Linked DNA regions of Coturnix japonica. The protein of the gene in region 2 interacts with the protein of the main gene of each other region in a pairwise test. Links are inferred from orthologs where the notes say so. Each region holds a gene or a part of one and is shown on either strand. Other genes may lie near its edges.

Region 1 (4,654 bases), on a different chromosome or scaffold from region 2:
GCTTCTCTCGCCCCACTTCACCGCCTTCCTCCAGCTTCACACAGAGCCCCTGATTTCAAATGACTGCTGAGATCACATGGTTATGCACATGCTCAAGTCAAAGCAGCACAGAAAGCTGCTGTACTGGTGCCTACTTCCACAGCATCCACAACTCTCAAAAACAGTCACTGCAAATCATTGGGGACTCTTCGTCCAGCAGACACTCGTGGGGATGTGCTTTGTGAGCTCTCTGCACATCACTTCTCCCGCAGGACACAGACCCCGGCGTCGCAGCGCTGCATCCCCAGGGAGGTCACCACTTCCCAGCTGTCGATGATGGGATCGTAGCACTCAATGCTGCTCAGCAGTGAGTTGCCATCGTACCTGAAGGGACAGAAAGTCACAGCTGAGGGGTGCTGCCACAGAGAGGGGTTGAGATGCTCAGAGTCCTCCCAAGTAGTCTTGATGTGCATTCAAGAGGCTGAATGCAACGCAGCCATGGGTTGTGTCACTTGGAGTCACTCGCCCCTCTTGCTGACACACAGAGCACCTTCCCCTCCAGCCCATGGCCATCTCTTACCCAGCGATTGCATACAGCCTTCCCCGCAGCACGGTGGCCCCCACGTAGCAGCGGGGGGTGGTCATGCTGGTTACAGTGGTCCAGGAATCAGTGCGGATGTTGTAGGCTTCCACAGAGGAGAGATGCGCCGTCCCATCGAACCCACCAACAACATAAATGTGGTCGTTCAGCAGAGCAACTCCGGCACCTGCAGGGAGAGGACACAGGAGTGCTGACAGTGCTGTGCCTAGTGCTGTAACTCTAACCCTGCCAACTTCTGCTCAATTTCCAGTGAGGGGGAGCGAGCAGCTGCAGCCAGGGCAGCAGGAGCAGCATGAGGTACTCAGCCTGCAGCCAGCCTGACAGCTGTGCCTGTAAGAGCTGCTGTGCTCAGCTGCCCCAGTAAGAGCAGTAATGCTGTTGGCCGAAACTGGCTACACAGTGGCTCAAGTTGTCAGCGTAATGCTGTCCTAACAGTGCTGCTCTCTGCTGTCCTGGATGCCCAGGAGCTGAGCCCCAGTGCTTGCCTGAACACCCCTCACTGACTGGGCCCTGCAGCTAACAAGTGCTGCCTTCACACGCTGTCCCATCACATTACATACGTTAACTGTGTTGCCTGCTCCTCACCAGTTCCTAATTAGGGCAGTCACAGACTTCCTCTCCCCACAGCCCATAAAGTCACACTCACACTCCTTTATGGATCCTCCTCCTGGGGAGCTAAACCAGCACACAAGCTCCTACCTGAGCGCTTAGTGGCCATCGGTGTGACGTTCGTCCAGTGTCCCGTGTGGGGATCGTACCTCTCCACAGAATTCAGTATGTTCAGCCCATCATAGCCGCCTGAAACACAAGAGAGGAGCAAACTGTGCGCCATCCCAGCGAAGCATGGCACAGCTTCCAGGGTCTGCTTCAGGATCTGCATGTTGCTGCCTGCGGGCACCTACCGAGGCAGTAGATAACTCCGTTGGCTACAACGAGCCCCGCTCCTTCCCGTGCTGTCTGCATGTCTCCCAGCATACTCCACTGGTCAATGTTTGGGTCGTAGCGTTCCATGCTGGTGTGGCGTCGGCTCCCATCAAACCCACCAGAAACATAAATCATATCTGCAACGACAGAGCAGGGGTGGGCTGAGCACAACGAGCACCGAATGTGCACGTGGAGCACAAAGGCCTTCATAGACACAGCAAACCTACAATGTGGACTGCAAAATACAGCAACCACAGCAGAACTTGGCATGTTTGAACCTGAGAGAAATGCAGACTGCTCACCCTCACGGTATCAGCCTGCCTGCAGATCAACCAACCAAGCCCAGAACCCAGCCAGCCCTTCCAGCTGCTTATCCACCATGAGAGCTCCTCCTCCACAGCCCCTCCTTGAGCTCCCATTGCTCAGAGCACAGTGGCACAAAGAATGGAGACACAGCAGAGGTGGTTTCCATTGTTGTAGCCAAGCAAAGAGCTCCAACGATCTGCCCCAGGATGCACCTCCCAGGGTTGTGGCTCCTGCCAGCCCGCGCCGCACGTTCATGGGTGCTACGGAGTACCAGATCCCATCCTCATCTGATGTGTAATCCAAGCACTCCACGGAGCTGAGGCGGGAGCGGCCGTCGTAGCCCCCGATGACATAGATCCGGTCATGCAGGGACACAGTCGCGACGTAACGCCTCTTACGGGTGATGCTCTGAAATGAGGAAGGAAAACAAAGGGTCAAGGAGAAGAAACAACCCCCCGTGTGTGCAGAACAACTGCTGTTCTATCCCATTTTTGCTGCTTTGTTGGAAGAGGCACCTCAAGGCAGAGGCAGATGACAGTGTGGATTTCAGCAATCCATCTCTGGCTGAAATGCACCAGGACTGCATCTGCTTTCTGCAGCTTCTGCTGCCCGGGTCTCTTTGAATGCACAATACTTTTGTACAATGTCAGCTTATCTCCTGTCACTGCTGAATCCCTGGCACATCCTGGAGGTGTGCATGCCTCCCACCGCTCCCTGTCAATAGGGAAACGTGGAGGCTACAGAGATCTGCTGGATGCAGCTGAAGCTTTTGGCCTCCCAAAAAAAGAACTGAATTTTGGGAGAGAAAGCAATGTAAGTTCCCTGTGATTAGCAGTAACAAAGGCCTGCGCTGCTTCCTACTGGTACAGCTGCTTCTAAGATCGCACTGCAGAAGTTATCTCTAAATAAATCCCTTCCCACTCAGACCCAACGTGAGCAGGGATCACGCAGCCTGCTGTGCTCACAGCAGCACTGACCCCAGTGCTCCCACTGACACCCCAGATGCCACCTCCAAACTTCACAGCTCAACGCCCCTTGAAGACAAAACATGCTGCCCTTCAGCTCTCACTCCCACAGCACAGATGCAGCCTCTGCAGGTTCAGCCCAGCAAATAAGGCAGCAACCTCTCCCACAAAGCTTTACAAGCAAAGTGATTCCAGCGTTTACTGCATACACCTCCACAACCCAAATGAACTGAGGACAGCCCAGGGAAGGTTATGTGGCCAGTAGCACACGATCGATGTTTGATGTCAGCGTGCCTGTTCTGCTCAATGATGGTCAGAAAAGGTCCCTTACAGGCAAGAAACTCCACTCGTGGGTCTTCGGGTCGTACTTCTCCACAACATCTATGGGTGACTGCTGGCTGCCAAAGCCGCCGATCACAAGCAAGACTTCATTTGCTCCTGCAGCAAAGAGGGAGAGCAAAGCCACATCAGCTGGTGTGCAACCATGGGCGCAGAGCTGAGCCCTGTGGGCATCATGCAGCACAGCCACTGCAGTCCATCCAGGAAGTGAACAGGCAACACGAGGGCGTGTGCTGAGAGTGCTCCTGACAGCAGTGCTATCAAATTGTTATACAAAAGAAGGCAGAATGCAGAAGGTGGACCTTAGAAGCAAAGCGCACAATTTTCACCTGGATAATGATGTGAATTTGTGACATTCCCTTTATCAGCTGAGGCATTTCGACCCAGAACAGAGCACAATGCCTCTCTGTAAATGGTGGCTTGAGCTGAAGTGGATGTCCCTGAGCACTGATGTGGGGTGTTCCTGGAAAAACAGGAGCTGTGCTGTGGGTGGACTATGTTGGAGGTCGAAGCACACCGCACTGCCTTCAGGACAGAAATTACTCACCATGCCTCTCAACAAACCAACCTGCCCACCTCCCAGCTGCCCTTCACCCTCCCACGTTCCCCATTCCATCTTCCCTCCAGTGCTGCCATCTCTCACCTCACCCTGTGAATTTCTGACACTGATAACCACCTTTTAGAAACTCTGCCCACACTCCTGGGACGGCTGCATGCTCAGACAAACCCATCTGGGAGCACCAACACAGGAGCAGGGCAACCAGCTACTCCCTGTGCTGCCACTCGTTAACAAGCCACCCTGTCCTGCACTGCTGTCCCCCTTCTATGCCACTGTGCACTGCAGATCAAGAAGTCTTTGTTGCAGAGCACCACAGCACTGCATGGCACACACAGCTCCTGCAGGTCCCACAGCTACTCCCGGCACCTCCACACCACTCACCCAGACGGGCTCTGGTCCTGGGTCCCTGCATCTGGCTCCGGAGCTCAGGACGGAGATGGAATTTCTTTGCTTCATCGACGAGGTCTCTGCACTGCAGACTGCATCGGATGAACGGCTGCAGAAAGACAGCAGTCACTGATACCAGTGGTCTGTGCTAAGATCCCCCCAGAGATGCCATGGGACTGTTCTCATACAGCTCATCTCTCGTGGCACTGCAGATTACAGGATAAAATACCCTACACTGGAAAACTGAGGAAAATAGGATTCTGCTACATGTTAGCCAGTGGAAACCCAATTGAGGAGGGAGCAAAGGCTGAGTGGGCCTGGCTGGGTCTGCCCCACAGCGTCAGCTCAATATGTGACTGCCAGAGACACAGCATGGAGCAAAGCCCAAACTGCGCTGCTCTGTATGGAACACCCTGCTATGGGCGGAACTCAGAACAGGGAAGTCTCCTCCAGAAGCAGCTGTGGGCACAGCAGCCCTAAGCATTGCCTCATGTCCTCCTTGTTCCCCAGCTGGGCCTGGGCCAACCCCCCGCTGCAGCTCCACATCCAGTTCCCTGTGGGTGTTCAATACCATGTGCTGCTGCACCACACCAA
Region 2 (4,263 bases):
TTAATAGGATACTAAAGACTTTACCAGCTTAAAAAAATAATTTCTTAAAAGAGCCCCAAACAAACTGGAGTTCTGTGGAAAACACTTAAATGTACTACTTGAAACAAGTATGCAATATAAAATGTGGACAGACAATAAACAGTGTTGGTGCAGGGTAACTTCATATTGATGCATGTGACTGCCTTAGGTAGTGAACAGAAATTATGAATTTGGGGGAAAAAGTGTAAAATGATGGGTCAGAAAGAGGTAGAGTGAAGCTGACATTCATCAGCATTAACACATGAACTTTGTGAAGTAGATCTTATTTTCACTCCATAGGAATTGTTCATCTTGATCCTTTTTGAATTAGAAATTCAGGGGAAGGGGATGAATATAAGAATGTTCTAAGGATACTATTAGGGATGTGACATAACTAGAATTATTACTATTAGAATATGGGCTGCAAATCTAAAAGTTATTCAGATATCGCAGTAAAGAATCACAGGGTGTGTGAATGTACATACCACTACTTAAACAGTTCAGCTTGATTTTGATATCCAGCTACCATACGAGACAGAGCAGGAGCCAGTTTTCAAGAATGAACACAAAGGCTGTAGTTTTCAGTACTCTCATGAAGGGGGGCCTGAAGTGTCATGCAATGACTTGAGGTGTATTTTCCCTCTTTCTCTTTAGTAACAGCAGACGCCGCCACGACAGTGAAGAAGGAGACAGCCACAGAAGGCACAAACACAAAAAATCCAAACGAAGCAAAGAAGGAAAAGAAGCCAGCAGTGAACCTGCTCCTGAGCAAGAAAACACTGAAGCTGCCCCCGTGGAATAGGCTTGTGTGATTTTTGCCTATTTGCATCTATATTAGTGCCAGAAATAGATTACTATAAATCTTGTTATTTTTCTGGTTATTAAAGTAATTTGTTCTTAATCTTGTTCTGTTAGTACAAAAGCGGAAGTTACTTGGGTTTTGTTTTGGTTTCATTTGTTTTTTTGTTTTTTTTTCTGTTGGGTTTTTTGTTTTGGTTTTGTTTGGGTTATTTTTTGTTTTTTTGTTTGTTTTTTTTTGAAAATAAAAGAATAAATTTTTCACATTAAGATTCCTGAGCTGACTTTCCCTTCTAAGAAGCAATGAGAAAACCTCTTACAGCTAAAGAATGATGCTCTTTCAACATACGTAGGGATTAAATTCTTTGTATTAGATCGTCTCCTTTTTTTCATAAGCCGGTGGGGAAGGTCATTCTTCTGCTGGCTTTAGAAGCAGTGTGCGCTCACTTTATTATACACCAACATCTGGAACAGTGTGAGTTCAGTATTGCTTTTGGAGGTCACATTTGAAAAGATCATCCTTTACTGCAGGGACAGGAAGAAATTGCAGAATCTTCAACAACTTTATAGTGAAGCGTAATGAAAACAAGAGGGGAAGGGGAAAGGTGCTGACTGTTCTCAGTCTGATGGAACACTGGGTGAGTGCGGTGATCATACACTTGGTAATTACATCTGGTTTGTGTGGGCGCATAAGGAAGAATTAAACTGGATAATCATTTCTGCTGCCTTTCAGTGGCTTAAGAGAAAGTTCATTTTAGTCTCTGTTCTAGGGGACAGCTGTGCTTAACATGAAAAAGATGAACAAACGCCGCCTCTCTGCATTGCTGGCTTTTAGGAGGAAAAGAAAATAAGAGTTTGAAAAATGAGTATCTTGCAGAGAAAGGCAAAGAATGCTGTAAGAAAACAAGGCCATCATTGCTTTCAGGTTACCTTCTAGCACTGTGACACGTGAGAGTGCTATGGCAGCACGGCAGAAGTTGAACCTTGTTGTCAGGGTACCGTTTCATTTTCTTTTGGGTGAAAATAATATTTGTACAAGCACACAAGAATGGTTATTTTTAATAACTTTAGAAATTTAATTCACAGTTTTACAGACTAACAAACGGTACTTGAAAGTCTTGAAAATATCAGCTTCATGCTGACCCGAAAAGGTACACAGAACCAAAGTGCTATTCACGTGGTGGATAAAAACCTTCACCTGATTTTTTTGCAATTACAAAAATTGCAAGGATTTTTTTTCCATAGATTATTCAAGGATTTCTTTTCCTAAATCAAAATAAAGTGGGTGAGCAGGAGGTGGTGCTCCTTAAATTTCATTATTATTATAACGCATTAAATAGATATATAAAAAACAAACAAACAAAAAAAAAGCTTGAGAACGTGGGGAAGGAATGACTTAAGTCTGTAGCTTAAATCACTCTGAAGTGATTCTTTGACGTGTGTCCTTGCTTTGTCTAAACTTGGCTTTTCTTGACATGCAGGTTGAAATTTCACAAACCGTTTCTTTATAAACACATATTTGGCCTCCCAAAAAGCAAAGATGGGCGACATCTGTTGTGTTTCTTGTTTTTGTTTGCCTTTCTTCTGTGTTAAATTCCTTCTTGTAATCTCCATCAAGATTTGTTTTATAAAAAAGTGCCAGGCCAGGAGACAATCGTGAGAGTAATTTTTCCTTTCAGTTCTTTGAGCATCCTTGCCAAGCAGGCGTGCATCATTCCTGATGTGTTTCTGCCATTGACAGCAAGGAGGATATCGCCGCATCTGAGAAAAGAAAAGGCAAAACAAGGGAATCTTAAATGAGGGCACTTCTCCTTGGGAAATGCCACAGGATGGCCATTCATTGGGTAGAAGTGTCACCATTCCTTCTTAGGTTCACCACTGTCCATGAATAAGGGAACAGAGCAACACAGAGGAGTGTCCCATCACTGTCTACCCAAAGAAGAAGTTGATTCCACTCCTTCTTGTAATCCCCTTTTAAATATAGTGCAGTATTGATTTGGCTTTCATTTGAGCTGGGGGTGTAGAAAAGCTTCTCTGCTGGCATTCTTTTTAGTGCCCTAGAAATCAAACTGATGCATCTTTTACTTACTTATACTGGAGACTGCTAAGAAGGCCATCCAGTAATACTCTACAATGACAGTAAATATGTTTAGGACTCGTGTCCTGTTTTCAGAGCTTCTGTATTCCATTGAGCTCACTGGGAATCATAGAATCATAGGATTACCCAGGTTGGAAAAGACCTTGAAGATCATCAAGTCCAACCACAGCCTAACCAGTACCCTAACTCTAACAACCCTCCACTAAATCATATCCCTGAGCACCACATCCAAACGGCTCTTAAACACATCCAGGGATGGCAATTCAACCACCTCCCTGGGGAGCCTATTCCAGTACCTAACTACCCTTTCTGTAAAGTTCTTTCTCATATCCAACCTAAACTTGCCCTGGCGCAACTTGAGGCCATTTGCCCTCTTCCTGTCACTTGTCACCAGTGAGAAGGTGAATTTTTAGTTTGTTAATACTAAGTATGCTCGTCTTCCTACCTGTCAGGGGATTCCTTTTATTTCCCCATTTACAGCATTCAAGCAAAGCTTGTTTAAAAAATAAAATATCAGGATGAAAGAGAAGTAGCATTTCTCATTACCTGATTCTTCCGTCGTTGTATGCTGGTGTTCCCCCAACAATGGATTTGATAAAGAAAGGTTTGTTCCCAGTGTGCTCTTCGTAGCCTCCTACAATGCTGAAGCCGAGGCTTCCAGATGTGTTTCTTCGTAAAACGATTTCTTTGCAGCTGTACAAATACCTGAAACAAAGCAGTCTGATTAAATGTCTCATGGCTAACTCTGGATTAATGAGGCATCTGCCACTTCATTGTGCTCACAAAGCGTTTTGAAGATGTGAAATGACAGCGAAGTTCCCCTGTATTAAACACTTGCTGTTTCCTTCTTTACTTCAGTGCTGCTTTCCACCACTCGTTATCCTAGCAGTGAAATAGCAACTAATGTTGAATTTAATAATAAATCAGTTGGTTCACGTGGTAGGATTTAATGGAAATGTTCTAGTTGTGACTGAAAGTGATGAAAACGCTCTCAGACTGGATTTAATATTTGTAAGCTGTAATTCCAGAAACTGTATTTCATTTGCCTCATACAATCCAGTGACTGCTTTTATCTTCTGTGTGTGATTAATTGTGTCAAAAGTAGCCAGGCATTGAGAAGGAAAAATCCAAGGCCAATGCATTGAGCCAGAATTACAGCAGTGGCAGAGATCACACAAAGAAGGATGGGAAGAAGGAATCCTGAGCTTTTCTTGCCAAGCAACATGGTGAGTTGGAGCATGGAGGATGAGCAGATCCCATTCATTTCAGTCAGTGCACCGGAGTACTGAGTCTGCTGTTGGAAACAGCTTGTCCTGACTCTAACAACTATCCATATTTTTGCTAAGTGA
Region 3 (5,159 bases), on a different chromosome or scaffold from region 2:
GTTTGAGGAAAGGGAGAGGAGAGCTGCGTATTGCAAAGATATACGACAGGTAAAGCTGTGTGTCTCTTCAGTTAAGAAGCTGCATTATGAACACAGCGGGGTGTCAAAGTTCACTGCACCGAAACTTAATAGCTTGTGAACTGATTGGTGGTTTCAAATGAACCATGCATCTGGGGGGTATATTGAGAGAACATCTGAAAGGACAGTGATCAGTAGATTTAGATCGGTAGATTCCAAGTTGTCTCACATATCGTATGTATTACGTTATGTAACCTCATAAATCCCACTAGATGTTGATCTCTTCATGAAGACTATCAAATCATAGAACCACAGAATGGCCTGGGTTGAAAAGGACCACAACAACCACCCAGTTTCAACCCCTTTGCTACGTGCAAAGGTCGCCAACCAGCAGACCAGGTTGCCCAGAGCCAGGGTTGTCCCTTGGCAGGAACATTCCAGAGCTGTTCCATCACTCACTTTTGCTGCCCTCAGTGGGGTGTCAGTTTACAGGCTGAGCTGGGGCAGACACAAGTATTAAACAGCATATAAGCAGAACTGAGTGGCCATTGCTCCTGGCCACCAGCTGAAACGGGCCAGACAGCTTTGCACACACAGAATCATCTCTCCCACGCTTCCTCCTTTCCCCTCACTTGAGTTTCTCATCTTGAGAGTTGCCTTTCACATTTTCTCATCTTGATGACATCATGCACGTCACATATTGAAGTATCCCGTGTCGCTTTGACTTTAAACCTTTGGCAGACCGTTCCATTTAACACTTGTGGTTCTCTTTTCCCCCCTCTTCCCTCCCCTCCAGTCCTGAGATGCCCGAAAATGAAGCCACATTTGCAATAACTCCTGGAGGGATTGGAGATGCCAAAGAATAAGTGGGAACCTCATGCAGACATACAGCTGTTAACCACCAAGGCGCTTCGTTGGGATGAAGATCTGCTCCAGGTCGCTGCCTCCCCTGGCTGCTTTTTATCTGCTTGGAATCGTTTGAGAGGTGTTTGGGATAAACCGTGTGTGCTTCAGTGTTATTCAGCTGGTTCATTTGGGGTCTTCTCTTTTTAATTGGCAATAAATAGCTGATGGAAACAACAAGCCCAGGAGCTTTGCGGCACTCCATGTGTGGAAGAAGAGAATTAAATACCTGGAATACTTTCACGTCGGCCAGATTGCTTATTGAAGCACTTTTAGAAGAGAATGACCTAAAGTTGTTTATACTAAAGGGAATAATAAAGACCTAAAACGAGAACAGCACTCTGTGTGTCTTTGGGTGCTTCTCCTCCAGCCCCACTCTCACTCATCCCCAAGCCAGATACAACCCAACCTTTCACAACCCGTGTGGGGCACATCAAGCCGTTGTCTCGCAGCCAGGACAAAGCACACATCATGGCTGCCTCCCCTCTCGCTGCTGCCCGTGTGCTGAGCCCACAGCCCCCTGACAACCTGCCCTGTGAGGGGGCCCCGAGCCCACCCGGCCCTCGCAGCCCCCCGCACCCCCCTCCGCCGCACCGCCCTTATTGTCTCCTCCACAGCGGCAGCCGGCGCCCGGCCGAACAGCCGCATTCTCTAAGCGCCGCTACGCTGAACGATCAGCGTAATCCTCCGACCCTCCGCCAGCCCTTCCTGCACAGCCCGCGGAAGAATTTTACGCAAAACGTCGGGTTCTTCCTGCTCTACGTCAGCCTGAGTTACGCAAGCTGCGTACGCCGTGCGCTTACGTAACGTACGCCTCGGCCTAGCTTTTCCCTACCCTCTAGAAGGGGTTACGCTGTAGGCTCCTTGCGTAGTAGACTTTGAGGAATAAGAAGAGCGATACTCCCCTTACTCCCCGCCTCACGCAGGGGCTTCTGAAGCGTAGACTGTTACGCAATCTCCGTATATCGCTCTCTGTTCGGCGCAGTGTTCCGCCAAGAGCGCGTAGGGCGTAGTTGGCTTCCGAGAATTAACGTAGGCGTTTTCGAGAGCCGCAGTTTGCGCAGCGCCGGGGCGCCCGTAACGTAAGTGAAGCGGGTTGGGGCGGCGGCGGCCATTTTGTGCCGGGAGCCCGGAGGAAGAAGACGCGAGTGTCTCCACACTTGACGGGCCCTGGAGCCGACCGAGAGCCCCGCCGTTCCCTCTGCTGACGCTCAGCGGGTCTCTGACCCACTGACCACTTCTTCTTCGTTTGTGTCCCTCCCGAGAGCCGAGGTGGCGCAAACCGAGTCCTCCGAGACCCAGCCGGCGTTGGCCGGGCCCTCGCCCCGCACCCCCAGCCCTTCGCCGTCACCACGGCCGGCCTTCCGATGCCTCTCGCCCACCCCCCCGGGAGCCATGAGGGGCTTCGGGGACCGGGGGCGCGACCGAGACCGCGGCGGGTAAGGGGGTGACGGGGAAGGCCGGGCTGGAGGGCGGGGGGACGCGAAGGGGGGATGGGGGGGGCTGAGGAGCGCTCACCTCAGTTGGAGAGGCTGGGGGGGCGAGGGGAGGGGTCGGGAGGGGGGATTTCTCCTCACACTTCGGTGTTGAGGAGCGTGAGGGGGCACTGGGGGAGAGGACGGACATTTCACCCCTGTTTTTCACGTTGAGGGGATTTGGGGCCGTGTTATTATGGCTTTGGCAACAAGGGGTGGCTTTGTTTTTATTTACTCTTAGTAACGTGCCAAGCTTGCAATTCTAAGGCCTACCTCTTCCTTTTTTCCCCATATCCTTAAGTTATTTTCTCCTTTAACCAACCACCTCTCCCCTCCCCCCCCCTTGCCACCCCCCCACCAAACGTGAACGGGGATCTCTGTGGCCCTGACGCTGCCCTTCATGCTGTCATTGCTCCTTTGGAGCTCCCTCAGAAGATGGCAGTTGGTGAAGGGCCCTTCTCGTGAGAGGAAATGAGAGTGAAAGCTGCCACTGAGCTGCGTGCGTGCTCAGGAGGCCAGTAGCTGTAAACATGGCCTGGGCTGTGCTTAGCAAGCACGACCGAGCTGAGCGTGACCAGCCTTAGCATGACCAAGCTGATGGAGCAATCGAGTGGGAGCTGTCTGGCTGCCGTGGCTTGGGCCTAGTGCTTAGTGCTTCCAGTCTTGCTAGTTAAGTTAGGAAAGGGTTTTGTAGGTTTGACTCCTAAGGATGGCAGCAATAGGATAATATTATAGTATTTAAATGGTTCGCTACTTGGTTTTCTTCCTGAGGGTTAAAAGCAATAAGAGTCATCCTAGAGAAACTGGAAACCTGTTTAGGACAGTGGCATTTTCTATTCTTTTAATAGCTAGTAGTTAGGCCTCCTTTCTCAATGATTAACAATAAATGTATCGTATAGATTTTGTTACATTTTAGGTCTAGTTTGCCATAGCAATACTATTTTTCATGGCTTGTCTTTTTTTCCTCCTCTTTCTCAATGACAGATTGAGGAAAATTTTGTTTATGCATCGAAATCCACTTTAACATTTAGTTTCTCTTCGTCTGTGGAGGGAGATAGTCGCATTTAGGCTTTATCTTTGCACCCACATTTCTCACTCTGAACTTAAAGCATCCTTTCACTTTTTTTCACAGGGAGGAGGGTTGTGTTTTTCCACCATGAGCTTTCCGGCTGAGCACAACGCAGGGACATCAGTGTCAATGCTCTGGCAATCTGAGATAACTCAGGCCCAGCTGCTTTTGGAGTTTAGAGAGCGTATCTGAGTGTGTAGATTTATTTCGAGTTACCTAAAGTAACACTGTGCAGAGTGTTGTTACAATGCTTAGCATGCATGACATTTGTGTCGTCATACTCTGCAGGAGGGCTTTGCTTGTAGATTCTTCTGTTGTAGATCACGGATGTGATGTACGAAGTAAGGAAGGAGTGCCTTATTTGTCAGGATTTTGGACATCTGCATGGAAAATTGTTTTCTTGGCCTATTACAGCAGATTGACTGTATCAAGATTCAGCCACCGACAAGCATCACAATTCAGAAATAATTTCTCTGAGAATGTGGGGCCACCCAGGATGCCGTGTTCAGAAGTTCTTCACCTTCCTAGTGCTGACTCTTCCTTCAGCTAACAAATCCAGGCTTCCAGTTTTCTTCCTGTCTGTAATGAGCTGTAGGTGACTGCTTAGGATAGGCAGCTGTACTGTTTTGCTCTGGAATGTAGTAAATTCTTAGTTGTGTCCCAGAATCTGTGGCATAGTAGCTTTAGAAAGGAATGTTCTGGGTCAGTCTGAATTTCTCTTTAACTGAAAGGTGAAATCGGTGAAGTAATCTTAGTTTTAAATCATCTTGACCAGAGCTGGAATTGGGTGGTTCCCACCAGGTTACTGGGGATGGTTGTTGCAGGAGGGCAGCAGGGTTGGCTTCCTTCAGGTCAGTGTGCAGCCATATATTGCCTGTGGGGATGGAGAACTGGAACTGCCGCACTTGTGTCAGAGCGTATGATTCATAATCACAGAATCATCGAAATCACCTGGGTTGAAAAGGACTACAATGATGATCCAGTTTCAACCCCCCTGCTGTGTGCAGGGTTGCCAGTCACCAGACCAGGCTGCCCAGAGCCACATCCAGCCTGGCCTTGAATGCCTCCAGGGATGGGGCATCCAGAGTCTCCTTGGGCAACCTGTTCCAGTGCTCCACCACCCTCTGTGTATGGGTTCTTCCCTCTGGATAGCTGTGGAGCACATAGAGTGCTCAGCTGTTTTGGGGTCCAGTCTTACAGTCAGCTTTTCCTCTCGCTCTCCAGTGAGTCCAATAAGGATGTCTGTGCCTTTTGGTAGAACTGCTTGGTTACATCAGTAGTTACCATTTGGACTTCAAGTTAGCATGGTCAGCAGCAGGTATCTTCAGCAGAGCAGGATGTTTCTGGAAGTGATCTGTGCAATTGTTGTTTATCCTTTGTTCCAGAAGGAAACTTATTGCTTAGAAGTAACTTTTCAAATTGCATTTTATGGTCTTGGCCTGTGACAAAAATAGCTGGTTGCAAAGGGTGCTGGTGGGGAACCTGGTGAAGGTAGGAGGTGAGAATAAGGGGTATTTGTACAACTGGGAAGAGATACAATGAAACAGTTGCAGCAAAACAAACATTGGAATTTACTTTGGCTCTGAGTTAAATTATATCTGCCCTGCATTTTCCGACAGTGTAACTCCTTCCTGTTAATATGTTCAAGTTCTGCTTTTTGGTCTCTTTGTCATCTTGTCATTTCCTTTGGGAAG
Region 4 (5,081 bases), on a different chromosome or scaffold from region 2:
GGGTTTTCGTTCACCACCTCACCCGTGGTGGTTGTCCACTCCTTGCCCAGGCCCCCCACGTACAGGTGTTCATCTTTCACTGCCAGCCACTCTGCCTTGAAGCCTGCAGTGGAAAGAGCAGCATGGGCCGCACATAGATGTTAGGGTGCTCTGCAGTCCACACAGCCCCCTCAGCAGCACACAGTACTGCACACAGCCCCCCCAAACCCTGCAGGATGACAAAAAGGTGCCAAGAGACAAAGCTCCCCCACCCTGTGTGTGCAAGTCAGGCAGCAAACAGGGAATTACAGGGCTCACCTTTCCCCACAGTGCCATCCCCATCCGACAGGATCACCCAGGGCACCGCCTTGTTGCCCTCGATCTGGTAGACCACCCCAGTCCGGTCATCCACGGAGTACAGCTTCCCATTGAAGACAACCAGCTCCGACAGCTCCATGCCCCTGCCCTTTTCCGCCAGGTGGGACTGCAGCACACTCTCCTCTTTGTCCCACTCCACCATCACACTGTCCCCGCTGGCCGACAGCACCAGATAACCCTTCTTCAAGTAACTGAACCAGGTGTGCTCCTCAGAGCCCCGGGACTGAGTGTCCAGGTCCGCAATGACCCCGATTCGATAACGCACACCCTCGGGGTTCCTTTGGGGTGGGGACAGCGGGTAGGTGTCATTATAGCGATCCTCTGCCTGCAGCCAGAGGTGCCGGCTGTGGGGGTTGGGTGGGACGGGCCGTGCTGGAGGGGAGCGATGCAGGCAGAAGAGCAGCAGCACGAAGCCCACGCAGGCGGAGGACAACACGATGGCCCTCCAGCGCAGGCGGAACCGGGGGTCGGCACCTTTGGTCATGGACGCGAGGACGGGCAGGCTACCCACGCTGATCCGCAGTGGGCTCATAGACTCATGGCAGGGCGGCACGGGCATCAGCCTGCGGGCGAGGAGAGCCTGGCAGTGAGAAGAGAGCGGGTGAGAGCTGCAGCCCAGCGCTGTGCTTGGGGATAACGGCGAAGCACAGTGTTATGTGATGAAGCAGTGGCCCTCAGAGGGCTGCTCTGCTGCAGGAGCCCTTCTGCCATGCTCATTCCCTATTGACCCCAGATAAGAGTGAGCCCATGGCTGTGTGCTGGGTGTCCTGATAGCAGCATCCTCACCCAGGAGGAGGAGGGCACTGGCTTATGGCTGCACACGTGGCAGCCCCGCCCGAGCAGGATGCTGACACCTGAGCAGGAAGTGCAGTGCCCGGCTGTGCGGGATTACAGCCATACCAACCCCAACCCCATAACTCTATGATGCAGCAGCCGCTGCTTCCCGGTCACATCTACCCCTGGATAAAGCTGCACTGTCCCACCGTGCCCATCACCGTGTGCCCCCACTCTGCCCAGCCCCGAGGATACCGGTTGCCCCCCGGTCCATGCCGTGCCCCCCCCGCAGTGCAGCGCTCCCTTAGTCCCTCTCAGCCCCTTTTGGGCAGCCCTGGGGGGCGGACAGAGCCGGCATTGAACGACCCGGCATTGAACGGGGAGGTCCGGCAGCTCCGCACCCCCCTGCGGCCTCCAGCCGTGCCCAGCCCCCCGGGCAGCCCCCTCCCCATTACCGACCACCCCGGGCAGCACCGCACGGCCCCGCACAGCCGTCACCCCGTCAGTCACCCCGTCACCCCGCGGTCTCTCCCCCGCTCCCCGCCGCCCCCGGCCCCGTCTCTCACCGCGCCGCCTCCCGAGCGCAGCCGCCTCCACCCCGGCCAACAGCCACCGCCTACAGCTCCCTGCACCCCCAGCGCTTCGCTACGGCACATGACAGAGGCCAAACTAACGCTGTATGAGCACTGAGAACTACAGCTCCCTGCAGCCTCCGCGCTCTGCGCTCGCTCTCATTGCTCTATGGGGTGCTGCGGCTCCATGCTGTAGGACAGACACACAGACCCCACTATAGAGCACAGCTGCATCCCCCATGCACTGCCCTGCACGCTGCCTCTCACATCTGCAGCTGCTTTATGGCACAGCCCCCCACGTCCCCCCGAGGCCGGTGCTGGTTGTGGGGCTGCTGCTGGCAGGCATGGGGTGCACACATGGTTAATGCTGTCTGCTGCTGGGCCCACATCTGGCAGGGGGGGAAGGGCTGCTCCTCTCTCCTCCTTTGCTTTCCAGAAGTGCATTTCCGCCCGGCCATAGGAGGAGAGGAGGCTGTCACAGGGGCAGGCTCTGCCCCACAACGAGGGGGCAGGCAGCGCAGCACCACGCAATGCCCTAAGCAGCAAAGGAAGCACGGGGAGAGAGCGGCCCTGCCCCGGAGGTAGGTGTGGGGCAGGGCTGGGGGTCACCTCTGGACACAGGGATGAGCGCTGTTGTGTGCACATCTGTGTGTGCCACTGGGCTCTGTGTGGGCTCCCAATGTGCAGAGTGCCCGGGGGCCTGGACCCCCACCCTCACTGTGGGTAGTCAGGCTTGCACCCTGCCCCACATGCAGGAGGGTGGTGGGGATTGTAGGGTTAAAACCTCACGTGTTGTTGGAGGGGCACAGCTCAACCTGCAGCAGCACTGGGGTGGGGAGTTAGTGCCGTAGCTCCAGCTTTGAGCCCTGCAACCAAAACACCCCATGGACACATCAGACTCAGCACTGGGCCGCCCCAGGGCAGCTCTGCAGGGACTGGCGGCTGCTGGTGGGAGCACAACTTCTCATCGGTGCTGCTGGGTGCAGTGGGAGCTGGAGGGTTGCGACCTCTGTCATTCTTTGGCTGCTCCATGCAGCTCCCACCCTGCTGCCTGCTGGGGCTGGGCTGCTCCTCTTCTGCAGGCAGCTCCACAGATGTCCCAGCTGTTATGGCAAAAAGGAGGGGGGTGGTGGGGGGCTTATCTCCAGATGTCAGAGGAATCCTGGCTGCAGCCACAGCTCAAGGAGGACCGTACCCATAGCTGGTGAGCAGGAAAGCAAGGTGGGCATGCTGGTCCTGCTGCCTCTGGACCCCCCTGTGTGCCCAGCCCCTTTGCTCCTCCCCCAGCATTTACTCTTCTTTCATCCTCGCCTTTAATGCTGCCTGGAATGTTTTCAGGATGTTTTGACTTGCAATCCCAAGGCTTTAAGCAGCCACTGAATTTCAGTCTCCAAACCACTCCTGGACAGCATCCAACCCCTGACAGGAAAAAACAGAGTCCCTTCAGCAAGGCTCTGTATATGCCTTTGCAGATACGCGTGCTGCCTGCCCGGCGTGCCTGCGGGGTGCAGAAACAGACGTGCTCAGGGTCTGGGAACTCTGCATGCTGCCCACGGGTACACCATGCTGCTGGCAGCACTGTGTGTGCATGGCACGCTCGCCTCCATTTCCAGCCCTGAGACAGCCTGGAAACGAGCTGCTTTTCTAAGTAGGAACATCCTGGCTAAGGATTTCTTCTCCCTGCTGAGCAGTCTCCTGTGAAGCTTTGCTTTCCCTGGGGCTAAGCCCACTCAGGGTCCCAGGGAACAGTCTGGCTCCATAGGAGAACGGCACAATGTGGGCCCAGGGCAGGGGAAAAGCTGTGGGTTCCCAGCAGCACAGCAGGTTGTAAGCTGTGCTCACCAGCATATGGCTGACACAGCTGGAGCAGAGCAGGGAGAAGAGAGCCAGGGCTGAGCTCCCACAACGGTATCTGCTCACAAGCCCTGGGCTGGCCTGTTTGTGCTGCTTCTCTCCGGCACACAGAGCTGAGTGTGGGCAGGTGGCAGGCCATGGTGATTAGGCTTTGGTGCCAGGCTGCCCTCGGTGCCACACGGTCCATGGTGCCACCAGCCCTGCTGCCAGCAGTGGGCAGCAAGCTGAGGACAGCCCCGCTCCAAGACTTTGGGATAGGGTGGGTGTGGGGGGAAGTATGTGAAGGGATGGGCCCTTTGCAGAGGGCTGGCGCAGAGGGAAAGCCCTTTGGAGCTTTTCCCCATCCCTCCGCCCTTTCCCTGTTCCTTGAACATGACTCATGAGCCAGGCATCCTGGCCTTGAACGCCCTCTGCTCCCGCTTCTGGAGCATGCCTGTCCTGGTCCACACAGCCCACAGACCCCAAGGGAGTCCCACCCTGACCATCGCTAACCCAGGACCCAGGCACTGAAAGCAGCATTCATCAAACTGTTGGGTTCTGCCTCCCCAGCTCACACCCAGGACACAGACTGAGGCACAAGGGGCCCTTTGCAGACTTGGGCACACAAAGCTTGCCGTGCTGCCATGGGTGTCCAGCAGCAGGGAGGTGCCACTTGTTCTCCTGGCACCTTTGGAGCCATAGGGCGCGGTGCAGTGTGCTTGCACCATGCCTCAGAGCTGATATGATAGTGATAAGGCGAGGAAGGGCTGGGCTGCACTGCCACCTGCTATCACTGATGTTAGCTTTGGCCCCAAACAGGATGTTGGCTCCCGGCTGCTAGGGGCTGGCTTGTGGACAGAGCCACCAGCAGCACTTGAGGCTCAGGAGAAGCAGCTCAGGTTCCCTTGCAAAACCCACAGAGAACCAAGGCATAAGGACTGGCAGAGAGCCCCATAGCCGGGCTGCTCCTCTGCTCCCATGCTGTCTTTCCCCACCAGCCCAACCCAGCTGTAGCACCCTGATCCCCACCTGCTCCCTGCCCCCTCTGGACACTGCTGGGCTTTGCCATCCCCCTCAATCACTCTGGTGTCTCACAGGGTGCTGCTGCAGCATGGAGGGCCTTTGGGCACTCAGAGTCCTGCTGCTCTCCTGCCTGCTGCTGCCCAAACCTGTGTGCAGCCAGACCAGCCCCAACCCTGACCAGCATCCAGCAGAGCCTGAGGAGTCCCCATCCAACCATCAGACAGCCAGGTGAGGGGGCCCTGGGAACAGAGGTACTGCCATTGGGATGGGGCAGCCCCTGGCACCACGAGGGGCCCAGCCCCCATGTGCAGCTCCTGTTGTGCTTTGCTTTCTGCCCCCCCAGGGCCATGCAGGAGCAGAAGGACAGCGGTGCCCAGGAGGGGCTGCCCCCACAGCCCCACTGCGTCCGCTGCTGCGAGCCACCCAAGCACCACTTCTCCTACCCCCAGTACCAGCCCCAGATCAACATGACCATCTTGAAAGGTGAGGGCTGTGGGGCACTGCCCCCAACCAGACCTACAG
Region 5 (5,400 bases), on a different chromosome or scaffold from region 2:
GATGCTATATCTTTTGTTCTCTTTAAGAAACGTTAATTATTTGGAGGAAACACTGCAATATTTACATATGTCAACTAAAAATGCCAACATACTCATTGCTCGTACGGTGGTGCTCTACAGCTTCTGTGGTTGCAAAAAATGTTTATGAAATTGGAAAAGTTTTACTGCTAAAGCTGTCACCTACTGCGCCTCTCAGCTACGGCCAGCACCCCCGGCTGGAAGGTAACAGAGGAACTAACTGCAGCTCTCAATACGGTGAGTCAGCTCTGAATTAGGCTGGGGAAGGGCTGACAAACGATTCCCAACCAGGTTCTCTTAGGATTTGGGTTTTTGGCTTTTTTCCCTTTCATTCTGATACTTAAAAGAAATGAAATAGCAACGCTGTATCAGTCACACAGAGGACATGCAGATTTTAGCAGTATTGATATTATACTCCCATTTAAAGATACCCTTGATCCGCAAGCGTGGAAGTACTGCGGGCCGTTAACGCTTGGAACCAAATGCCGCGGGACAAACCAATGCTCCCACCCCTGTCCCGGTTTACTCCTTTAAAAAAAGACTAGAATGGAATAAGGAATTACACCGGCAAGTACTGAGCCACAATTGCCAAGAGGGTTTTAAAGAACAGAGCAATTGCAGCCCGCAGTGACCAAGAGGTGCCTGAAGAAGTGACACGCAGGCGCACGTTCTCAATTCACCTGTCTCAGTATAAGGTCAATACTGCCAAGTTCATCTGTGACAATAGCACTTGGAGTCATACCATTGCCTCCATTATTGATCTGATCCTCCTCAATCCTCCTTTTGACAATCCTAAAATGATTGACATGTGCTCCACAATCCTTTAATCCAAAGCATTCTTAATCCATCTCTTCAGATATGTCTACAGAAAGACACACGAAAAGGCAAGATAAAATATAAGATCCCCCAGAAGAGACAAGTTAGCCACAAACATCCCAACATCCCCAGCTCGCATGAACCATAGCTGAACACTGAGACATTTACACAGCAATACCACAGTTTGAAGAGTGTTGGTATTTAACTAGAACTAAATTGAAACAATCCTGACTGACATCAATTAAAATACAGTTTACCAAAGACATGAGGGGGAATGTTGTTGTTACGGAGCAAATACTCACTAGGGATTTTACACAAGAATGCAATTCAACACTTCAGCCAATCTGAATAAAACAGCTTGAATTTAAAAAAAAATAATATTGAAAGACTGTACTGAGTAAAGGAAAACTGTGTACAACATGGGGTTCTACAAAAAGATCAGAGCTAGTGATCGCTTATGTACGAGATCGGGATCTGCTGTGGCGGGGAGAGTAGCGTGGAGATCCTCTGCTTCTTCTTGGGGAATAACTGCGGCTTCTGCTGTTGCTTCGACTACGGCTTCTGCTACGACTACGGCTGCGTGACCGAGATCTTCCATAGCTTGGACTTCTTGGACCATCAACTTTAACACGGATGTAGGCAGTTTCTCCCTATTGAATAGACACAACTTTCGATTGAAAGGTCTAGGCTTCGGGGCCATCGTTTTAGGCATGCTGACAGACTGCAGATATCTTTACTAAGGCACAGAAATAGACATCAAACTCTTAATAAAGTCTATTTCGTGACAAACTGACAGCAGACTCAGTTTAGCTGCTTCGTGTATTAACGCAATGATCACCACACATTCCTTACCTTCACATCCTACTGTTAAGCCCTTTGTATCCAATTCTGGCCAAAAACAAGTAAGCGTGAAACCTACCTCATGAGATCTAAACTTAGTGTTATCCAGTTTTCGCACAGCGTAGGTCATATCTTCCTTCCGTACAAACTCCACGACACCAGTTCCATCTCGGAAAACATCAGCATAACATACATCACCTGCTTCACGCATGTGATCCTTTAAATCCTGCCAACTTCCACTTGGAGGCAGTCCTGGATAAAAAGCAACACCTGGCTTTAAAACCCAATGGTGCGATCATATCATAGTATCACAGTCTCGTGCGGGTTGGAAGGGACCTTAGACATCATCGAGTCCAACCCCCCGCGATTTGAGCCTTCTGTGTAGCAGAGCGGCACTTCTGCCACTTGCGCCACAGGGGATTCGAACCCAAGGCCTCCGGTGTTGCAATTCCAGCATCATCCCGCAGCACACGAGCAGAACACCCTGCACACAGCCCACAGCATCCAGCACCCCTCCCCCATCCCGAGGCTTCGCAGGGAAAAGCGGAGCCGCGTCGCCCCCCGCGCACGGCAGCACGAAGGACCCGGGGGAAGAGAGCAGCGACTCACCCGAGACGATCACTCTGTACTCCGATCGCCGGGACGGGGGGCCGTATCTGCCCCGCGGGGCTCCGCCCCCTCCGCCGCCGCCGCCTCCTCTGCCGGTCCCCCGGCCGCTGCGAGGGAACTCCACGCGGAGGCGATACCCATCGTAATCGTAACCGTCCCGCCCGTACACGGCGTCCTCGGCGTCCCTGCGGGTCGGGACGGGCGGTGAGCGCGGCCGCGCCCTGCCACGCGCCGCCCCCCGCAGCGCCTTTGTTCCCAATACCCGCGGCCCCACCCCGCCCCCACCACCACCATCAGCACCACAACCACCATCACCGCCATCACCGCCACCCCCAGCGGCGGCACCGCGCCGGGCCCGGAGCGCAACGAGCCGAGCGTGTGTGTGTGTGTGTGTGTGTGTGTGTGTGTGTGGAATAGCGCGCAGCGGGAGCGGCGCCGCGCGTGGAGGAAGGGAGGGAATGGAGGGGGGGGGTATCGGCGCCCGGCGGAGCCGTTCCCGCCCGTGCCCCAGGGCCCCGCGGCGCTCACCTCGGGTCCTCGAACTCCACGAAGGCGAAGGGCGGCCCCCCGCGGCGGTTCTTCAGGTCGATGTCGCGGATGGCGCCGTATTTGTAGAACACGTCCTCGATGTCCTTGGTGCGGATGTCGGGGGGCAGGTTGCCCACGTAGATGCGGCAGTCGTTATTGCCGGCCGGGCCGCGGATCACGCCCCCTCCGGACATGCCGAGGTCGGCAATGGCTGCGGCGTTCAGGGGCCGGGGCGCGGAGCGCGGGCGGGCGGGCGGGCGCGGGGCCGGGCCGTGCGGACGGGAGCGGACACGGCGACTCCAGCAACCGCCGCTTCAAAATGGCGACCGCGGCTCCCCTCGCGCTCGCAGCGCGCACTGATCTCGCGCACTGATCTCTCTCACCCCGCGCCGCAGCACCGCCGGGCCGCGAGACCGCAATGCGTTCCGAGTATCCCGCCGCGCTCTCGCCCTCGCGCATGCGCGGCAGCGCGGAAAAGTAGTTCCTCTCTTTTGCCTTTCGCCTCCGCTGCTCCGCCAAAGCGGCTGTGGCCGCACAAGAGGCTCCGCTCCTGCCAGCGAGGTCGGGATGAACGTGAATATCCGCCTCCGATCCCCGCTGTCCGCACCGGGACCGCCGCGCTTCTTTCCGCTGCCGTCTCAGGGCGCCGGGCCGTGTGACGTCACTTCCGGTGCGGCGCTCGCGCCAAGAAGTCCCGGCCGGCGCTGGGGGTGTCCCACAATGCACCGCGCCGCTCGGGGCTCTTGGCGCCAAGGCGCGGGGCGTGGCCCGGCCCACAATGCACCGCGGGCGGGTCGGGCCGTGCGCAGCGCTGGGCGGGCGGGCTCGGTACTGAGCGTCCATTCCCGGCCGGTCCGAACCGATCCGTGTCCGCACGAAGCGCTGCGGGCGGATCCGCCCTGCGGCTGCACGGGGTGCACGGGGAGCGGGCCGTGTGGGTCCGTCAGCCGCTCAGCGGACACTGTGTGGGACGGTTGGGACGGGCTCGGTGCGGAGGCAAAATGGCCGCCCCGAGGGCACGGAGCGGGCACCGCGTCACCGCCCGCCTCAGGGGAACGCGGCGGGGCGGGCAGCGGGACGGCAACGGGATACGAATAAAGGGCAGGAACACGGCAGGGTGTGATGGGGACTGAGTCATGAATGGAACAGCAGTGCAAACACCGGGCGGGTGGGAAACGAGCGGAACTGGGGGCGATGGCGGGCGCTGTGTACGGGTGTGAGCAGAGCCGGCCTAAGGGCACAGCCTAACTATGGGCAGAACCTTCCTATGAGCACAGCCGAACTATGGGGGCACGAGAATAACGCCGTGCTGAGTTTGTTTTCTTGATGAGGTTGTAATTGATGTGAAGGCACAGTAACACACCGGGATGTTACCCTTGTTACTCACACGTCTCTGACATTTCTTCAGGCAGCAGATGTAATTTTGAACGTATAAATTGCTTTTAAGTAATGAGGGTGCAATTAGATGAGCCAGGCTTTGGTTTAACAACAAGAATTCTTTTGGCCTGTAGCTGCTCTGTGGTGACACAGAAACTCCAACATCCACTTTTCTTTCTTTAATACAGCATAAAGTCTTTGCCTGACCCATGAGGGCAGAGCAGTCCCTGCTCTGTTGGCTCACACTTGGCTGCCTGGACGTTGTGCTTTGCTTTGCAGATGTGGCAATGCATTGAGGGCTGGAAGTGGCACTGGGGCACACAGTGGTTGCCTGCCTGCATCCAGCACCGCTGAGCCTGCCTGGTGCTGGAGGGCTGAATCTCAGCACCACAGGGATGGGGAAACAGCAGCTGAGCATGGAGAAAAGCCATTATGCTCCTGAGTTGATGAGGGGAGTTTGAGGAATGTGTCCGAGCATTTAGCAGTGGCTGTTGTGCTCACTTTGTTTTCATTTGTTAATTCAAAGCGTGTATTCCTCCCACAGACAGTGACTTACAGTTAGAAAACATCCCATAGTGAAAACATTTTCATGACAAAGTTATAGTGTGCTTGGTTATTATCAATGCCTTTTATTTTTGTCCCTGTGGGTTAAAGTGCAGTAACGTCCTCTGCTCTAATGGTTTCTGACATTAGTGATGCCTGTGCTGCATTGCTGGTGCTTTAAAGACTGCTGTCAACCACAGGAGGATGTGATGAGCAAAGCCCACCAGCAGAAGCGGTGCTTTACCCACATACAGCTCATGGTTCTGGGGGATTTCCTGCATCTTTATGGAGCTTTAATGCTTTCCAGTGTGAACTGGTTGCAAAGACCCCAAACAAACTCTCCCCATGTCTGGAGAAAGCTGCAGCCTAAGCCTGGGAATGGGGTTTAATAAATGCTGGATGTTATTCTTAAAGGCGTCATAAGATAATGGTGAATCTGCCTGGTTTGCTAAAACCCTGCTGCACAATTTCTTTTGTGTGTTAATAGTCCTTATAACTACTTTAAATGATTGCCTTAATTGCTTTAATGAAGTGTCTCTTTATAGAATTATTGGATGTTTTCTTTCTCATTCCCTTGTTGAGCTCTGTGTTATCAGTGGAGCACTTAAAGCATGTGGATAAGCTGCAGAATGTTGGGTTGCATTTCCAGAGCTGCTTTTGGCTTTCTGG
Region 6 (5,365 bases), on a different chromosome or scaffold from region 2:
TCCAGTTACTGAAAGCAACAGAAACAGAACAGAAAATGGCTTCTATTTTAAAGACATTGTAGGTCTTTTCAGATACAGCTCTTGTGTAAATTACAACATCGAGGGAAAAGGAGCGGGGCTATCAGCAACATTACAGTGAGAATAACAAACCAAAACGATCGTGACTGTGTAGCTCTAAGACATGAAGAATATGTACTTTGCAAAGCTCAACTTCACTCATTCATCACTCTCCAAGTGTTGATCTCAGCTTTCCAAGCCTACATCCCTGAAAACACAAAGCCTTTCTGGTAAATGCTCCTTCAGCACTGTGTGTTTCTCACTGACACAGCACGGAGACCCCCTCCTACCTTCAGCCCAGCCTCCCATCACACCTACAATGGAGGGCATGCTGGGGTACTGCTCGTCTGCTTTTGGAGACTTGGATTTGCTGGAAGGACGGGGCGAGTCGCGCTCCTGCTGCGACACGGCTGAGCGCCTGGAGATCACATCGGAGCCCTGGCCATACTGAAACCCCACGTGAGGAGATTCCGCTTCTGCCTCAATCTGAACCTGGTCCTCAGGTTGAGAAATGTGGCCAGCAGGCTCAGCAGCCCTGTCCTCCAGTTTGCTGGATTTATAGTGTGGAATGTCAGCGGGTTGCTGCAGTCCCGGGTGTCGGGATTTCTTTATGGCATCCTGCCTTTGCTCGTGCTTGGACAGCTGCTGCTGCGTGTTTCTTTGAGAAGCTGGATAGTAGTTGAAGTTGCTCCAAGTGTTTCCCCTCATACACGTCCCTTGCTCTGGGTTTGGCTGTGGATGTGGGGGGCTGCTTTCTGCCCTCCAGCCCGCGCCGTACAGACACGGCTGCTCCCCGCCATTGGAATTCACCTCCTTGTCTGAGAGGCTGAAGTATCGATCCTTCTCCTTCTCACTGATGTCCAGAGACGACTTGATGAACGTTTTACACACGCTGATAACGTCGGTCATCTGAAGGTAACTGGCGGCCGACATCACCTCGATGACGTTCTGACCAGTGAGAGACAGTTTGCCCGAATACACAAAGTCCAGAATAACTGTGAAAGTGTCCGGAGAAAACGCCTGGAAGGTGGCGGTGGTGGGTTGAGTCATTTCCTTGGAGCTCTGCGAGAGCAGCATCTTGAAGTACCCGCTGCTGGCAAACAGCACATTGCGGTGCGCCCTGAACACTTTGCCCTCCACCAGGATGTTGCAGTCACAGAACAGCTCCTGCCTGCGCTGCTCATTGAGCTGCTCCAGGAGGTGAAACTGGTGGGACGAAATCTCCATCCCAAAGCAGATGTGCTGTGCTCTAGGAAACAAAGGGATTAAAACAAATTACAATCGTGAATTCCACGTTGCGCTGCTCGCCAAGGCCGGCAGACCCCATTTAATGGATATTCTGAAAAATAATCTTATTGAAACACACAAATATATTTGAATTAAATATCCCAATATCCACCACCAGGCATTGCTGTTCGAAAAGGATGGAACGAGTCCATGTGAGGCTGCCTGTGCTGTTTGGCAGCGATGTCAGAGCTCCGAATGAGCAGCAGCAGCATCCTCAGATGGAGGCTGAGAAACGCGGCGGCACCGTTCAGCCGTTCACCGTCATGGCGAGGAGCCCAAGGAGCCCGAGGAGCCCGAGGGAACCGGCAGAGCTGCGGCCTGTGCCCGGTGCTGCCGTTCCCGCACCGCCCGAATCCGGCCGGGCTCGAATCCATCCCCGCCCGAGGGACCAGAAACGGGAACTCGGCTCCGGCCTCATCCCTCCCGTCCCGGGCTGCCCCCATTGGCCGCCGCCGCCGCCACTCACCGCGCCCCGCCCGCACCGGCCGCCGGCAGCCCGTGACGCCCGGCGGCACTGTGCCCGCCCGCCAAGGCGCGGAGCCGCCGCCCGGTATCGGCCGCGATGCCGCCCCGGGGCCGCCGCCCCCGCTCCCGGTGCTTTAACACGGAGCGGCGCCCTCGGCCGCCGTCCCGCGTGGCGCTGCCCTCGGCTCCGCTCGGCTCCGTGCGGGACGCGCCGCCCGCCGCCCCGTGGCCCCGGCTCCGCTCGTTCCCGCCCCGCTCCCGCCGTGTCCCTGAGCCGCCCCCGCCCGCCCCGCCCGGCTCAGTCCCACTTCCCCCCCCGCTCTCCGCTCCCGCGCCGCCCTTTGTTGCCGCGCCCGGTTTCTCTCCTTCTCGCCCGGTTTCTGGCCGCCAATGGCGCCCGTTGGCGCTGCCGGGGCTCCGCGGCCCGCCCGGCTCCCGGCGGCGAACGGCGGCACGGCCGGACCGCGGGGCTGCGGCTCCCGGCGCCGTCCCGCCCGCAGCCCCGCACACGGGCTCCCTCCGCCCCGGCCGCCACTCACCGCCGGGTTCCGCGGGCGGCTGCCGCTCGCTCGGTCGCGATGGAGGCGCGGGCGGAGGGTGCGGGGTCCCCGGCTCCGCTCGGGCCACGCTCAGCGCCCCGTTCCCGCAGCCCCGAGCCCTGGAAGCCCGAGCGGGAGAGAAACAAAAGGTATTTGCTGACGTGGGCGTTGGACACGGACGCCCGAGGGCTGGGGACACAATTAAAGGGGCAACGCACCGACTGCAGCCACAGCCCAGCAGCTCCCGACGTCTGACCGCCCTGCAGCTCGCGCCGCTTCCGTCCCGCACACACACACGATCCGTCCGGGTGGGGCTGCGATGTCCCGGTTGTTTCTCACACCTTTATGTGTAACACGGGCCCAAATGACCCAAATCCTTCCTTAACGTATCTGCAGCTTCCCCAGGAGGAGATGCGATGTCTTTCCTTCACATCTCAGTTGTCTTTGGAAAAAGCAGCACAACGCCTTCAATCAACCTCCACCTCTCGACTTCTCTCGCTCCAAGTTTGACACCCTTCACCTTCCTCTTCTTACCACCAGCGTCTTTTCTCTCCTGACCCTCATTTGTTAATCATCCCTTGTCCCATGTTCTGCCTTAGCTGTATCCTCGGTTCCTTTCAACCTTCCCTTGCATAAACTTCAGACATTCCATCTTGAATCAATTTACGTTCCTTTCCCCATCGTAGCAGAAGCAGGAAGGCACCTAAAGGCTTTTTCCTCCCCCACTTTCATTCTCGCAGTCTCTCCTCTCTTCACATTCAATTTACGTCCATTTATGTTGGATCGTTGTATTTCCCCGCTTTTATTCCCCTTTTTAATAAACTTCTGTTGTTTTCTCAGTTCTGTCTCATTTCGAATTTTGCTGTGCAGGCCACACTAAAAATCCTTCATGTGTCTGTGTTCTTTCAGAAAGAGAACAGAGAGATGACAAAAGTCCAGCACAGCTTTGCATGAATTCCTATGGGGCGTGAGCCAGCCAAGGCAGGGAAGAATGAAGCAAGTGAAATACATGGGAATTTATAAAATCACATCAGGATCAATAGGAAGTGATTGTCAGCTGCTGATCCTGGTGTAAGGGGAGGTGACGGCAAATGAAGCGATAGCGGTTGGCAGCAACAGAGCAGCAGGATGTGGTTCTTCACCTGACATAGGCAGGCACAGGAGCTCCTTGTTGTGCAGTTGTGGAAGCGAAATGTGAGCGTTACACGAGGCAAGGGTACAGCTATTGAGACCAGGGTACAGCTATTGAGACCAGGGTACAGCTATTGAGACCAGGGTACAGCTATTGAGACCTGTGAGTTACCTGCCATGCACCTCTGTAAGCCTCCATGTCTGTAAGAGGAGCATTCAGGTATTAGTGCTGCTAAACGCCTCTTGTTTCCTCGCACAGAGCAGGCAGCTGTTGTGAGCAGGACAACAGGGCAGATGAACTCGTGTTTGTCCTGGTGTTACAGCCCAGCTCTGCAATCCCTGAGTTCACAAAGCCCTGGACAGTGGCTGCCAATAATCCATGTGCCTGTCGGTTCAACTAAGCAGCACCACTTGTGTATATGACATCCTACATCATGGTTTCCCCCCACTTCCATATCCCAAATAGTTCTTGTACTGAAAAATTCCTTCTGAAAAGAATAGATTGTGGGTATTTGTTCTGCACGACCCAGCTGACACTGCACAGACCAGGTGCTTTCCTGGCGATACCAGAGGGCACCGAGCTCAGCAGTTTTATCAGTGCAAGCAGGAGTTTAAGGGTTCTCCATCGGCTACAAAGAGGTCATAGAATTTTAAAACTAGGGGAAAAATGCTGTGATATCTCGAGTAAACAAATCAGATCTTTAAACCTGATACGAGTGCTCAGAATACTCAGAATAGTTCAGGAAACGCCCAGAAATTCACCCAGTGCAGCTGGGATCACAATGGAACAGAATGGGGGTTTTCTCAGACATCAGGACTCGTTTCGCCCTGTGCTGCACAGCAACACATCACAGCCATTCCAATGCTTACAAAATAACAATAATAATCAAAGCCAAAGCAACCCTCTGAGAGTTTTATTTTCTAGACAATCAGAACGCTCCAGAATGCTCCGAGATCCACAAATATACTTAAGTCACTTCTACAGGTAAGGTAAGATCGATGAGAATTGGTCACTTAAAGTGGGCAAAAGGACTCCAGCTATGAAAGTGCCATAAAACATCAGTAACGACACAACCACATCTGCAAGATTTACAAGGTCTCGCACCAACAGGTAGAACGCACTATGGACAGCAGTGCAGCACGTGATCCTCCTGCAGTCTGTGTGGCCTTTAAGAACTTTGAGGAGATTACAGTAGAAATGAGTTTTGTAGAACCATTTTTCATTTGTTGGTTAAGCACCACGTGAATGTTTTATAACAGCTACATCGCTGCCTCGCAGCTTGTGGAGGCTGCAATTACAGTGGAAGGTTTCAGGAAAACATCAAAAACCGGGACGGGAAGCACAGCAAACACTGACATGAACATTCGGGCACAAGAACGTGGATCAACTCCATCCGCTTCTATTGAATACAAAAGCTGAAGGACTCAGCTGAAAACAAAGCAGCACAACATGACAGATCAACAGGAAACATCGATTCTGGTGCTCACTTTCGATCTGGAACACGAACAGCACAGCCCCCCCCTACTCAGAGTCACACAAACCATAGCACAGCTCCGTTCTCTATGCACAAGACACACAAGAACAACCTCTAAGACCAAAGAAAGCAGATTGCAGGAAAATTGCTGGAGGTCTCTGCAGTTATTCCTGCAGCTTTTACTACAGACTTTCACAAGAGCTTCACTTTCCCTCCTCTGAACGTCTTTCAGTTTCAGAGTTGGCTGCGCTGCTGCTCAGCACAGCTCAGTGGGGCAGGATCAGCTCCTGACAGCTCCACACCACGCTCAGCTGATCCCAGCTCTCGTCGCCTCTATTTACAATGACTTGGCGTCGTCATGCTAGAAGGACCAGTCCAGCTGTGCTGTGATGCCTGGTCACTATGTGTCAT

What was found. The genes of interacting proteins can lie anywhere in the genome.
Region 1: the proteins of LNX1 (region 2) and KLHL12 interact in binary tests that used the Homo sapiens proteins (3 or more experiments, as listed by UniProt). The two-hybrid records come from large-scale screens. The link is inferred for Coturnix japonica from reciprocal best matches to the Homo sapiens genes LNX1 and KLHL12.
Region 3: the proteins of LNX1 (region 2) and DDX17 interact in binary tests that used the Homo sapiens proteins (3 or more experiments, as listed by UniProt). The two-hybrid records come from large-scale screens. The link is inferred for Coturnix japonica from reciprocal best matches to the Homo sapiens genes LNX1 and DDX17.
Region 4: the proteins of LNX1 (region 2) and C1QTNF1 interact in a two-hybrid assay, tested with the Homo sapiens proteins (2 studies listed by BioGRID and IntAct). The two-hybrid records come from large-scale screens. The link is inferred for Coturnix japonica from reciprocal best matches to the Homo sapiens genes LNX1 and C1QTNF1.
Region 5: the proteins of LNX1 (region 2) and SRSF1 interact in a two-hybrid assay, tested with the Homo sapiens proteins (3 studies listed by BioGRID and IntAct). The link is inferred for Coturnix japonica from reciprocal best matches to the Homo sapiens genes LNX1 and SRSF1.
Region 6: the proteins of LNX1 (region 2) and zinc finger and BTB domain-containing protein 8A interact in a two-hybrid assay, tested with the Homo sapiens proteins (2 studies listed by BioGRID and IntAct). The link is inferred for Coturnix japonica from reciprocal best matches to the Homo sapiens genes LNX1 and ZBTB8A.

What each region holds. Positions count from the first base shown.
Region 1 is NC_029541.1:902,698-907,351, reverse strand, and holds part of KLHL12 (kelch-like protein 12), read right to left. Parts: intron 4,170-4,654; coding exon 4,055-4,169; intron 3,214-4,054; coding exon 3,107-3,213; intron 2,219-3,106; coding exon 2,023-2,218; intron 1,642-2,022; coding exon 1,483-1,641; intron 1,379-1,482; coding exon 1,280-1,378; intron 747-1,279; coding exon 560-746; intron 364-559; coding exon 237-363; 3' UTR 1-236. UniProt on the Homo sapiens protein: Substrate-specific adapter of a BCR (BTB-CUL3-RBX1) E3 ubiquitin ligase complex that acts as a negative regulator of Wnt signaling pathway and ER-Golgi transport.
Region 2 is NC_029519.1:59,314,420-59,318,682, reverse strand, and holds the end of LNX1 (E3 ubiquitin-protein ligase LNX), read right to left. Parts: intron 3,620-4,263; coding exon 3,461-3,619; intron 2,578-3,460; coding exon 2,442-2,577; 3' UTR 925-2,441; downstream 1-924. Other genes in the region: FIP1L1 (pre-mRNA 3'-end-processing factor FIP1), read left to right, coding at 673-820.
Region 3 is NC_029516.1:46,422,445-46,427,603, forward strand, and holds the start of DDX17 (probable ATP-dependent RNA helicase DDX17), read left to right. Parts: upstream 1-1,998; 5' UTR 1,999-2,316; coding exon 2,317-2,360; intron 2,361-5,159. Other genes in the region: DMC1 (meiotic recombination protein DMC1/LIM15 homolog), read left to right, coding at 1-49, 815-884. UniProt on the Homo sapiens protein: As an RNA helicase, unwinds RNA and alters RNA structures through ATP binding and hydrolysis.
Region 4 is NC_029533.1:4,623,151-4,628,231, forward strand, and holds the start of C1QTNF1 (complement C1q tumor necrosis factor-related protein 1), read left to right. Parts: upstream 1-1,920; 5' UTR 1,921-2,284; intron 2,285-4,633; 5' UTR 4,634-4,647; coding exon 4,648-4,787; intron 4,788-4,902; coding exon 4,903-5,042; intron 5,043-5,081. Other genes in the region: CANT1 (soluble calcium-activated nucleotidase 1), read right to left, coding at 1-103, 298-937, 1,698-1,787.
Region 5 is NC_029534.1:7,445,983-7,451,382, reverse strand, and holds the start of SRSF1 (serine/arginine-rich splicing factor 1), read right to left. Parts: upstream 3,162-5,400; 5' UTR 3,006-3,161; coding exon 2,812-3,005; intron 2,469-2,811; coding exon 2,284-2,468; intron 1,927-2,283; coding exon 1,754-1,926; exon of another isoform or gene 1,485-1,753; coding exon 1,290-1,484; 3' UTR 1-1,289. UniProt on the Homo sapiens protein: Plays a role in preventing exon skipping, ensuring the accuracy of splicing and regulating alternative splicing.
Region 6 is NC_029538.1:4,571,835-4,577,199, reverse strand, and holds the start of zinc finger and BTB domain-containing protein 8A, read right to left. Parts: upstream 3,162-5,365; 5' UTR 2,349-3,161; intron 1,772-2,348; exon of another isoform or gene 1,424-1,771; intron 1,307-1,423; 5' UTR 1,285-1,306; coding exon 348-1,284; intron 1-347. UniProt on the Homo sapiens protein: May be involved in transcriptional regulation.